Caenorhabditis elegans: one gene and its partner. The protein of the gene in region 1 interacts with the protein of each later gene in a biochemical or structural test. Each region holds a gene or a part of one and is shown on either strand. Other genes may lie near its edges. The genes, in order: glh-1 and mip-1.

What was found.
Region 2: the proteins of glh-1 (region 1) and mip-1 form a complex in vitro, tested with the Caenorhabditis elegans proteins (one study listed by BioGRID).

What each region holds. Positions count from the first base shown.
Region 1 is NC_003279.8:6,852,587-6,858,053, forward strand, and holds glh-1 (ATP-dependent RNA helicase glh-1), read left to right. Parts: upstream 1-1,891; 5' UTR 1,892-2,225; coding exon 2,226-2,265; intron 2,266-2,322; coding exon 2,323-2,757; intron 2,758-2,800; coding exon 2,801-2,875; intron 2,876-2,923; coding exon 2,924-4,174; intron 4,175-4,222; coding exon 4,223-4,326; intron 4,327-4,372; coding exon 4,373-4,554; intron 4,555-4,602; coding exon 4,603-4,807; 3' UTR 4,808-4,950; downstream 4,951-5,467. Other genes in the region: sacy-1 (RNA helicase), read left to right, coding at 36-172, 218-290, 339-512, 642-760, 823-1,070, 1,115-1,311, 1,359-1,478. UniProt on the Caenorhabditis elegans protein: Probable ATP-binding RNA helicase. May act redundantly with the P-granule component glh-4 to regulate the formation of the granular structure of P-granules in embryos. Plays a role in positively regulating the localization of pgl-1 to P-granules.
Region 2 is NC_003281.10:4,791,157-4,796,126, forward strand, and holds mip-1 (HTH OST-type domain-containing protein), read left to right. Parts: upstream 1-1,929; 5' UTR 1,930-1,949; coding exon 1,950-2,068; intron 2,069-2,118; coding exon 2,119-2,238; intron 2,239-2,293; coding exon 2,294-2,498; intron 2,499-2,551; coding exon 2,552-2,878; intron 2,879-2,928; coding exon 2,929-3,265; intron 3,266-3,312; coding exon 3,313-3,417; intron 3,418-3,467; coding exon 3,468-3,718; intron 3,719-3,917; coding exon 3,918-4,124; 3' UTR 4,125-4,267; downstream 4,268-4,970. Other genes in the region: Protein mel-28, read left to right, coding at 1-194, 242-553, 630-857, 903-1,040, 1,090-1,128.

The DNA of each region.
Region 1 (5,467 bases):
TAATTCCGTTTTTAATTTTGAAATATACTTTTCAGAGAGAATTGGCTCGTCAAATCTTTGACCTGATCATTGAAATGTTTGATGCTCTTGGAAAAGCTGGACTTCCAGAAATGAGAGCTGGATTATGTATTGGAGGAGTCCCAATTGGCGAACAAGCTAAAGACGTTAGAGAGTGAGTGATTAGAATTTCGAATTTTATGATTTTCATTATTTTCAGTGGTATTCATATTGTTGTTGCGACACCAGGACGACTATCTGATATGCTTACCAAGAAAATTATAAATTTAGAAGTAAGACATAACTTCAAAGATTTCAAAAATTGCTTCAATTTATTACAGGTTTGCCGTTACTTAGTTCTAGATGAAGCTGATCGAATGCTTGATATGGGATTTGAAGATGAAATTAAATCAATTTTCTATTTCTTCAAAGCTCAACGGCAAACTCTCCTTTTCTCGGCTACGATGCCACGAAAGATTCAATTTTTCGCAAAATCAGCACTGGTCAAACCTATTGTAAGTTTTATTTATGCAATCGAGAAGTTTCAAAAATATAATTTTTTAACCTACTCCCAAAAGTTGTCATTCTTCAATTCTTAAAGAATAATTTTTCAGGAGTTTGTCTGTAAATTATAAATATTTTAGGTCGTAAATGTTGGACGTGCGGGTGCTGCTTCATTGAACGTACTCCAGGAGCTTGAGTTTGTTCGATCAGAAAACAAATTGGTTCGTGTACTTGAATGCCTTCAAAAGACTTCTCCCAAGTAAGATTTTATTTATCAGAAAATAATTAATTTAGAAATATGGCAACGGTTTTATATTTCAGAGTTTTGATTTTTGCCGAAAAGAAAGTTGACGTTGACAATATCTACGAGTACTTGCTTGTAAAAGGAGTTGAAGTTGCTTCAATTCACGGAGGAAAAGATCAAAGTGACCGTCATGCTGGAATTGAGGCATTCCGAAAAAATGAGAAAGATGTACTTGTGGCAACAGATGTTGCATCAAAAGGACTCGATTTCCAAGGAATTGAACATGTTATCAATTTTGACATGCCTGAAGATATTGAGAACTATGGTGAATTTCTTATTTATTTTTCATAATTGAATTTTTATTTTCAGTTCATCGAATTGGTCGTACCGGACGTTCCGGACGGAAAGGTCTCGCAACGACATTTATCAACAAAAAATCGGAGATGTCAGTGCTTTCCGACTTGAAACAATTACTCGCAGAAGCAGGGCAGGAACTTCCAGAATTTCTCAAAATGTTGGCTGGTGACGAGGAGGGAACTGCTCCAGCTGGCACAAATGCGGAAAAGGTAGTTAGAAAACATTTAGAAAATCGGGAAGTTCAACATGTTTTCAGGGATGCGCATACTGCTCCGGTCTGGGTCATCGCATCACAGATTGTCCAAAACTCGCTGGAATCGGAAACAAAACGACGCAAGCATTGGCAAGAGGTGGAGGCGACGATGGTGGTTTCTGATTATTTTATTCATACATTGTATCTCAATCTATTTATTTACTGTTTTCTTGTTTACATTTATAAAAATATTTGTCAGAATTGTACTATTTATTTCATGTTTAAAAAAAGTCTGGATTTCCGAGAAAACATGAAAATAATTAATTGATCGAGTTCATTGAAAAAGAAAAATGAATTAAATGCATTCTCAAAATTCTTTTTTTTAAAGGAGACACCACGGTTTCAAGATCTGATGGGAGTCCGGATCTACGTTTTCCGGATCTACCATTTCCGGATCTACGTTTTCCGGATCTACGTTTTCCGGATCTGGCACCGTGCAAACTCTTAAAACGCTATTTTTTCGAAGAAAAAAGTGACAACGACGCTCCGATGTTACGCGTCGCGTGTTGTTAAGCGTTTCTTCTAGAAGAAAATTTCGAAAAAAGTCGTGCGTTGAAAAGCGTTTTGTGCGTTGGCACGGTGCCAGATCCGGAAAACGTAGATCCGGAAAACGTAGATCCGGAAAACGTAGATCCGGAAATGGTAGATCCGGAAAACGTAGATCCGGAATCCCATCAGATCTTGAAACCGTGGTGCCTCTTAAAGAGTCGATTCTTTAAAGGAACACAGACTTTCACACCGTTTAGGTTTCGCCACGCGCCCCAACTACAGTAACCTCGACACACTCATCTACTAAATTTTGGGACAGTTCCTAATTCTTTTTGCTGTTTTCAACTCAATTTTCTGGAAAAATCTTAATTTTCTGCGAAAATGTCTGATGGTTGGAGTGATAGCGAAAGTGCTGCTAAGGGTGAGTTTTATTTTGAACTTTCCACCGGTTTTATTTTGATTAAAAACTTTATTTCAGCCAAAACTGGATTCGGTAGTGGAGGCGGTTTCGGTGGTGGTAACAATGGAGGATCTGGGTTTGGTGGTGGTAAAAATGGAGGTACTGGATTCGGTGGAGGAAACACTGGCGGATCTGGATTCGGTGGAGGAAACACTGGCGGATCTGGATTCGGTGGAGGAAAGACTGGCGGTTCTGGATTTGGAGGTGGAAATACTTGTGGATCCGGCTTCGGTGGAGGCAGTACAGGAGGATCGCCGTATGGAGGAGCCAGTTCTGGATTCGGTGGTAGTACTGCCACATCTGGATTTGGAAGCGGTGAAAAATCAAGTGCATTTGGAGGATCAGGTGGCTTTGGAGGTAGTGCAACTGGATTCGGAAGTGGAGGAGGATCCTTTGGAGGTGGCAACTCTGGTTTTGGGGAAGGAGGACATGGCGGCGGAGAGAGAAACAATAGTTCGTTTTTTAAATTGACTTTATATAATTACGTTTGTTTCAGATTGTTTCAATTGCCAACAGCCAGGACATCGATCGAGTGACTGTCCAGAGCCGAGAAAGGAAAGAGAGCCGAGAGGTTTTATTTTGATATAACTTTATTGGCAGTAATTTGTTTTATTTTCAGTGTGCTACAATTGCCAGCAACCCGGGCACACCTCTCGTGAATGTACAGAAGAACGCAAGCCGCGTGAGGGTCGCACTGGTGGATTCGGGGGCGGAGCTGGATTTGGAAACAATGGAGGAAATGACGGTTTCGGTGGGGACGGTGGTTTTGGTGGAGGCGAAGAACGTGGTCCAATGAAATGTTTCAACTGTAAAGGCGAGGGACATCGCTCTGCTGAATGTCCGGAGCCACCCCGTGGATGTTTCAATTGTGGCGAGCAAGGTCATCGCTCGAATGAGTGCCCCAATCCAGCCAAGCCAAGGGAAGGTGTTGAAGGAGAAGGACCTAAGGCGACATACGTGCCAGTCGAAGACAACATGGAGGACGTTTTCAACATGCAGAAAATTTCGGAAGGCCTTATGTTCAACAAGTTTTTCGATGCCGAAGTTAAACTGACTTCATCCGAGAAGACTGTCGGTATCAAACCTTGCAAGACATTCGCGGAAGCTAATCTCACGGAGACCATGCAGAAAAACGTTGCTCATGCTGGATACTCCAAGACCACTCCAATTCAGCAATATGCTCTTCCACTTGTTCATCAGGGATATGATATCATGGCTTGTGCTCAAACTGGATCAGGAAAAACCGCTGCATTCCTTCTGCCTATCATGACTCGTCTCATTGACGATAATAATCTGAACACTGCCGGAGAAGGCGGTTGCTATCCCCGTTGCATCATCTTGACTCCAACTCGCGAACTCGCTGATCAAATTTACAACGAGGGAAGAAAGTTTGCTTATCAAACAATGATGGAGATCAAACCAGTTTACGGAGGATTGGCTGTCGGTTATAATAAGGGTCAGATCGAAAAGGGAGCCACGATCATTGTCGGAACTGTCGGAAGAATCAAGCACTTCTGTGAAGAGGGTACCATCAAGCTTGACAAATGCCGCTTCTTTGTTCTTGACGAGGCTGATCGTATGATCGATGCTATGGGATTCGGAACTGACATCGAAACTATTGTCAATTATGACAGTATGCCGAGGAAAGAAAATCGCCAGACACTCATGTTCAGTGCCACTTTCCCCGATTCTGTACAGGAAGCAGCTCGCGCTTTTCTCAGAGAAAACTACGTGATGATTGCAATCGACAAGATTGGAGCTGCAAACAAGTGCGTCCTACAGGAATTCGAGAGATGCGAAAGAAGCGAGAAGAAGGACAAACTTCTAGAGCTTCTGGGAATCGATATCGACAGTTACACGACCGAGAAAAGTGAGTTTTTCGTTTTCTTATTTGATGAAATAAATTTCAATATTTCAGGTGCCGAAGTTTACACAAAGAAAACCATGGTCTTCGTTTCTCAAAGAGCAATGGCTGATACACTGGCTTCAATTTTGTCATCGGCTCAAGTTCCAGCTATCACGGTTGGTATATTTCATTTTTGACCGCTTTTTAATTCAAAATGTACAGATCCATGGTGCCCGTGAGCAGAGAGAGCGTTCAGAAGCTTTGAGACAATTCCGAAATGGATCGAAACCTGTTCTTATTGCTACTGCGGTCGCTGAACGTGGACTTGATATCAAAGGAGTGGATCATGTCATCAACTATGACATGCCAGACAACATTGATGACTATATCCATCGTATCGGAAGGTCAGTTATATTTTATTAATGTTTCAATAATGCAAGCATTGTTTTCAGAACTGGAAGAGTTGGAAACTCTGGAAGAGCTACAAGCTTCATCTCGGAGGATTGCAGTCTTCTGTCCGAACTTGTTGGTGTTCTCGCCGACGCACAACAGATTGTTCCAGACTGGATGCAAGGTGCTGCTGGAGGCAATTACGGAGCTAGTGGATTTGGGTCCAGTGTACCAACTCAAGTCCCTCAAGATGAAGAAGGCTGGTAGAAAACCGACCAATTGATAGTGTTTCGCATTTATTAATGCTGTCAGTTCCCCCATATTTTATCCTGCCCTTGTTGATTTTTAATTGTATTTGTTGGTGTTGGTTGTCGTTATAGTCCTCGCCGCATAAACTCTGTTCAATATCATGCTGTTCACGACTTCAACTATTAGTTGCATATTAAATGAAAAGAATTTTAACAAGCAAACTAGGCAATATGATCTCATATCACATTGCTCTCTCAGCTAATCAACTTCAATAATTTGTTTTCCGATTCTCCGCGGCGAGCATTTTTCCGCATACAGAAACTTTAGGCTCAATTCTTTATTTATTTTCTTTTTTGCTCTTCTCTCACTCGCTCATTTCCGGTCGATTTACATTCGTTTTTTCGCTTTCCTCTCACCTGCTTTTTTGCTCCCGTATTTTTTCTGTTGGCTTTGCCATTCCATTTACGGTTTGCTCAGTGATCACAATCAGGAAATAGAGTTTGAGAAGAAGAGTATTAGGGAAAAGAGGAAGAGATGATGCTTAGTTTCTGTTTCGCTGTGGCATTTCCTGTGTGCTTGTCTATCAATTTCTTCAAATATATTTTTAGTAATACTGTAGTAAGGTGTATTCTCAGTAGCACGTGGTGGGGTCCCACTGCGAGAGGGGTACTGTAACAT
Region 2 (4,970 bases), on another chromosome or scaffold:
TTAGGAATGATACTGTTGCCGAACCAGATGAGACGTCGGTTGCGATGACAACTCGGCGTCGGACTCGGGCAACTTCTGAGGTTGTTAGCAAGCAGTCGTCTGAAGATGATGGAAGATCGACACCAAAAACCGGAAGAACTCCCACGAAAAAGGCTGCAGCTAGTACATCTTCTAGTAGAGCTGGAAGTGTAACTGTACGTTGTTTAATCGTTTAATCATACAACTATTCGAACATTTTCAGCGCGGTAAAAAATCGATCATCCAAAAGATGCCATCCCCGCTAGAGGTTACAATGGAAGTTCAAGAAGAAGAAGAAGAAGAAGCGGAGGAGGAACGGCCTGCATCAAGAAGCACTCGCTCTGCATCTGTCAAAAATACAACTGTTGACCCATCGTCATCTGCACTTGCTTCTACCAAACGTACAACTTCTAGAAAGAGGGGCAATTCGGAAACGATCGACTTTAATCAGGACGACAAATCGGCACCGACGACGCCAAAAAGAGGAAGACCCGCCAAAAAGGATGCAGGATCTCCTAAAGTTGGAAGTAAAGCTGTAAGCATTTTTAATTATTTTTTTGAATTAAAAATGTTGTATTCATAAATTGTAAATTGATTTGTTTTCGTTTCAGCGTGGCACCAAGCCTAAATCGATATTCGAAAATCAAGAAGATGAAGAAGATCGTTCATCCTCTCCAGATATCGAACAACCAGCCACACCTACACGGTCTTCCAAACGAACGGCTAGATCCAGAGCAAATTCCGAATCGATCGATGATGATAGCAAGCAGAAGACCCCAAAAAAGAAAAATGCCGCGGTTAATGAAGCTGGTACCAGTAAACAGTCTAGAAGTGTGACGGTATGATCCCAAAACATAATTTTTTTTCAAAATTATTATTTTCAGAGATCTCGAGCATCATCTATTGATGTACAACAAGAGGTGGAAGAGCCAACCACTCCAAAACGCGGAAGAGGAAGACCGCCCAAAACCGTTCTGGAAAATATTGAAGAGGGTGAAGAAGAGAGAAAAGAAACGGCTGCGGTAATATTTTCAGCAATACGATTTCTCAAACGAGGTGTTTTATTTTCAGACTCCTCTACTGCGTTCAGCTCGCCGTGCTAAACAATAGAGGTCGAACACAGCTCAAATTTTAACTATTTGTCCTTATTTATTTTATTATTTGAAATTCTTCAACTGACACATGTGAAATAAGTTCCAATAAAATTGTTTGGCATTAACATTGAATTGGAAATAAAGCAATAAAGGTGCATAGAACGGAGAGTTCAGGATGGCGTTATAGTTTTTAAATTTCAAGCAACAAATTCGATAATTTAATTTTAACTGGAAAATGTGAACGATTGTTCCTAGCATGCGAAACAGGTGTTTATACCACATTTAAAAAATTTCCAAAACGAAGCTCTGCAGAATTTTTTCTAATTTCTCGTGGTAATGATGAATTATTATTTAATTTTGTTTTTTAATGCACCAATAAAACGTTTTTTCGTGTAGAAAAAAGACGGCATTGTTAAATATATTCTTCACTGCAAAAATCCAATTTTATAAAAACTAATTTAAATCTTTCGAAAGGTTACTGTAACAGTCATTTGCGTGTGCATTTCTACGCAATATGTGGCGCCAAAAGGCTTGTCCTAAAATTCGGCTACCCATTCTAAATAAAATGATTCTTCGCAGTTGTTCTCTGTTAACAGCTTGTTTTTTTTATGTTTTGATGATATTTTCATGTTAAAATAATAATTTTAACGTTGTTCATAGACGTTAGCATGTAAGGACGATCTTGACGTATTGTAAACATCTGTAAAATTAGTTATCCGTGCATCAGACTGGGTCTGAGTCTTTTTTACAATTTACTGTAACATTTTTGTATCTTTTTCACGTTAATACTTGATCAAATTGTAAAATGTTCTCTCAGAAGTGACATTCACTTGGCAAATGACGGAAGCTGACGATCCCAAGAAGAAAATACGCGCGCGCATCGAGCGCGACGTGTACAGTGTTCTGCTATCATTCCAGGAAGGAGCGACCCCAAATCAAGTAGAAAGGAGAATGGAGTTTGTGTTTCGCGGCATTATTTCTCAAATTTAATGTATTAACTATTTAGCGACACGCTTGGCTACACATATGTTGGAAAATATGTACAGGCTGGTGTGAGAGATATGGCTCAACTTCTGCGAGAGCACAAAGATGTACGACAAAATTTATCCGGAGTTTTCAGTGTTGTGTGAGAAATATATATTGCTCTTATTCGAGTCAAAACTCAATACATTCGTTTTCAGCGCAAATGAGGACAATCAAGACCTAATCAATCTGATCTCAAAGCAGAAGAAAAAAAAGAAAGGTGGAAAAGGTGCAAAGCCCATTCGTGCAGCTACGTCTATGGGATTCCATAATAAAAGTGGATTCGGATATGCAGCTCACTTGCGCTCACCGAAACCCTCATTTATGTATCCAGCTTCATCTGCCAGAGCGAACCCGGCAAAGGTTCAAATTGAAAAAAAAAAACTATGTTCAAGATTAACATAATAATATTGCAGCCACAAGCAACTGGGTATCGCAATACCGTTCGACACCCACCTGTCCGCCCTTCCACTGCAACTGGTCACTCTAGTTTCGCAAATAGATCAGCTTATTCACATCATACAACGAGAAGCACCACTGTTGGTCCGGTCAAAATTGCTCCTAGTGCGACTGCTCAGCGTCCTCTTTTACGTCAACCTGTAACCGTTGTTCAAAGACTGTCGTCTACAGTGGCTGTTCCAGTTTTGCAACCCGGGATTGACTCGAAGTGTATGCCTTCGATCGTTGATTTTTCGAACAACGTTAAGCGCATGATGCTTCTGGAATATCCTGCTGATGTCCATGTAAATTTTTTTCAACATTTGCAAATTGCAACTGATTTTTCATATTACAGCTCTCTGAATTGACCGAAATCTACGATAAGCATTTCGATGTATCAATTGATCCACTCCAGTTGTTTAGCAAGAGCTGGATGATGTTCGTGAAGACTTCATTCAAAGAATGGCTGCAACTCGGAACAGACGGTCGAGTTGAAGTGAAGGAACCCTGGTTCACAAATTTTGGAGCTGCGTTAAAGAAATCAATGCCACCTGCTCCTGAAAAGAAGAAACCAACGACACTGCATGAGCCCACTTCAAGTGTCGCATCATCGAGCTTACCGATTTCACAAGGATTTCGGTATCAAATACCAGTTGTTCGTCCGATAGTGTCTGTCGCAGAAAGTATGAAAGGTATTTACATTTGAAAATAATTAGTAGATTGTAATATTTTATTTTAGGACTCACAGTGAGTGCCCGTAGCGTAATGGGAACTCCAAAAGATCTTCCTGGTGTGTCTAACCCGATTAAAAACACAGCTCGGGGAAGTAATAAGCCTCGAAATGGTAAATCCAGAAGTTTCCATTAAAAAAAACTAATAATTTTTATTCATCAGATCTGGCATCTTCGAAAGCGAGTAAGGATCTTGTTGTTCCTGTGATGAAAACTACGTGTATCAAATCACTTGAAGATACTTCTACCAGTAGTTCGAATCCTTCAACATTGCAATTATCTACTGCCTCTACCTCTGCAACAGATCAGAAACTGCCAAAAATGAGCTTTGGAAGACAGATAGAAAAAGGATCGTCGATTCCAGGGAGACATATATCTCTTGCTCTCACGGAAATTAAAAACCAAAAAGTTATTGTGAGTAATTTTCTTGCTAGATTCCATTAATTATAATATACCAAGTGCGGTATCGTTCCGTTTTCGGATCAAGACTAGCTTTTTGTTGTTTTATTGCTAAAATACTGCAATTTTTATGTTCATTAAAACAAAAACAATATTTTTAACTATGCTAGAAAATACCATGCCGACTGTGATGAATAAGCTAAATGAATTTCAGGCGGCTTCTATTGTTGGAAAGAGTGCCAAAACTTCTACAAAAGTGCCATCCACGACTAGAAGTGTAGTTCTCCCACCAATGTCAAAAGGACCAGGATTGGCACGTTCTCGTAACTTTTCACCACAACAATCGACTACATCTTCAATTGATAATGAGTGTCTAGAAGCTATCAATGCTGCGTTGCCGTCGGATAAGGATAGTTGGTGATCGAAATTTTACGTGCTTTAAAATATCCTGTTTATGTGTTTTTGTAAAATTATTTTTTAATTAGTTTTAATAGTAACATTGTTTTTTTTATATTTTGGATGCGAGTCATTCACGAATTTTACTATAAATTTTTTTTCCGGTGCATTCTATTCTTGTTTCGCATAATTAAGAAAAATGTGTTCTGAAACATGAAAAAATATTTGTTAGCTTAAATAGCGTGACCCCTTTAGATGCAAAATTGTAGAGTAGCTGTGAGAGCTCTTCCGACGGGCCACTCAAATAATTGAAAGCGAAATGCAGTTTCTCTTTTTCTCTTCCCCAATGCATTCAGTTTCCTATTTCTCTGCCATGTCAAGATTGGCATCAAACGATGTTCGAATATGGGGGAAAACTGGGGCGGTCGGCTTGTGCACACAGACAGACCCATAAAACATGAATTTATTATTCTACGCGCACGCAAAACGTGGCACTATAGAGACTAAGAAACTGCAGGAAATTCGTTTTGAAGATGAGATAACATCAACGAACGGTGTAAAACATAGAGACAAAAAGTGCTCTGGATAACGACGCGCTATATAAGATTGACCCTTAAGGGTAAAAGAATTCTTATCCAAAAATGTTCTCCAATATTGATTTTTAAGAGAATATTATATTTCTATGCTGTCTAGTGAATAGTTTTTCAATTTGGCACATTATTTAGTAAAATATGTTGAAATAATGAAACTATTTATTAAAACAAATTTTTGAAGTCTAAAAAGAGCCTTTTCACTAGCTAAACCAGTAAATACCTCTAGTCACGGCACTATCAGGTTTGTACAATGACTGTATTTCTTTAAATCGATTGTC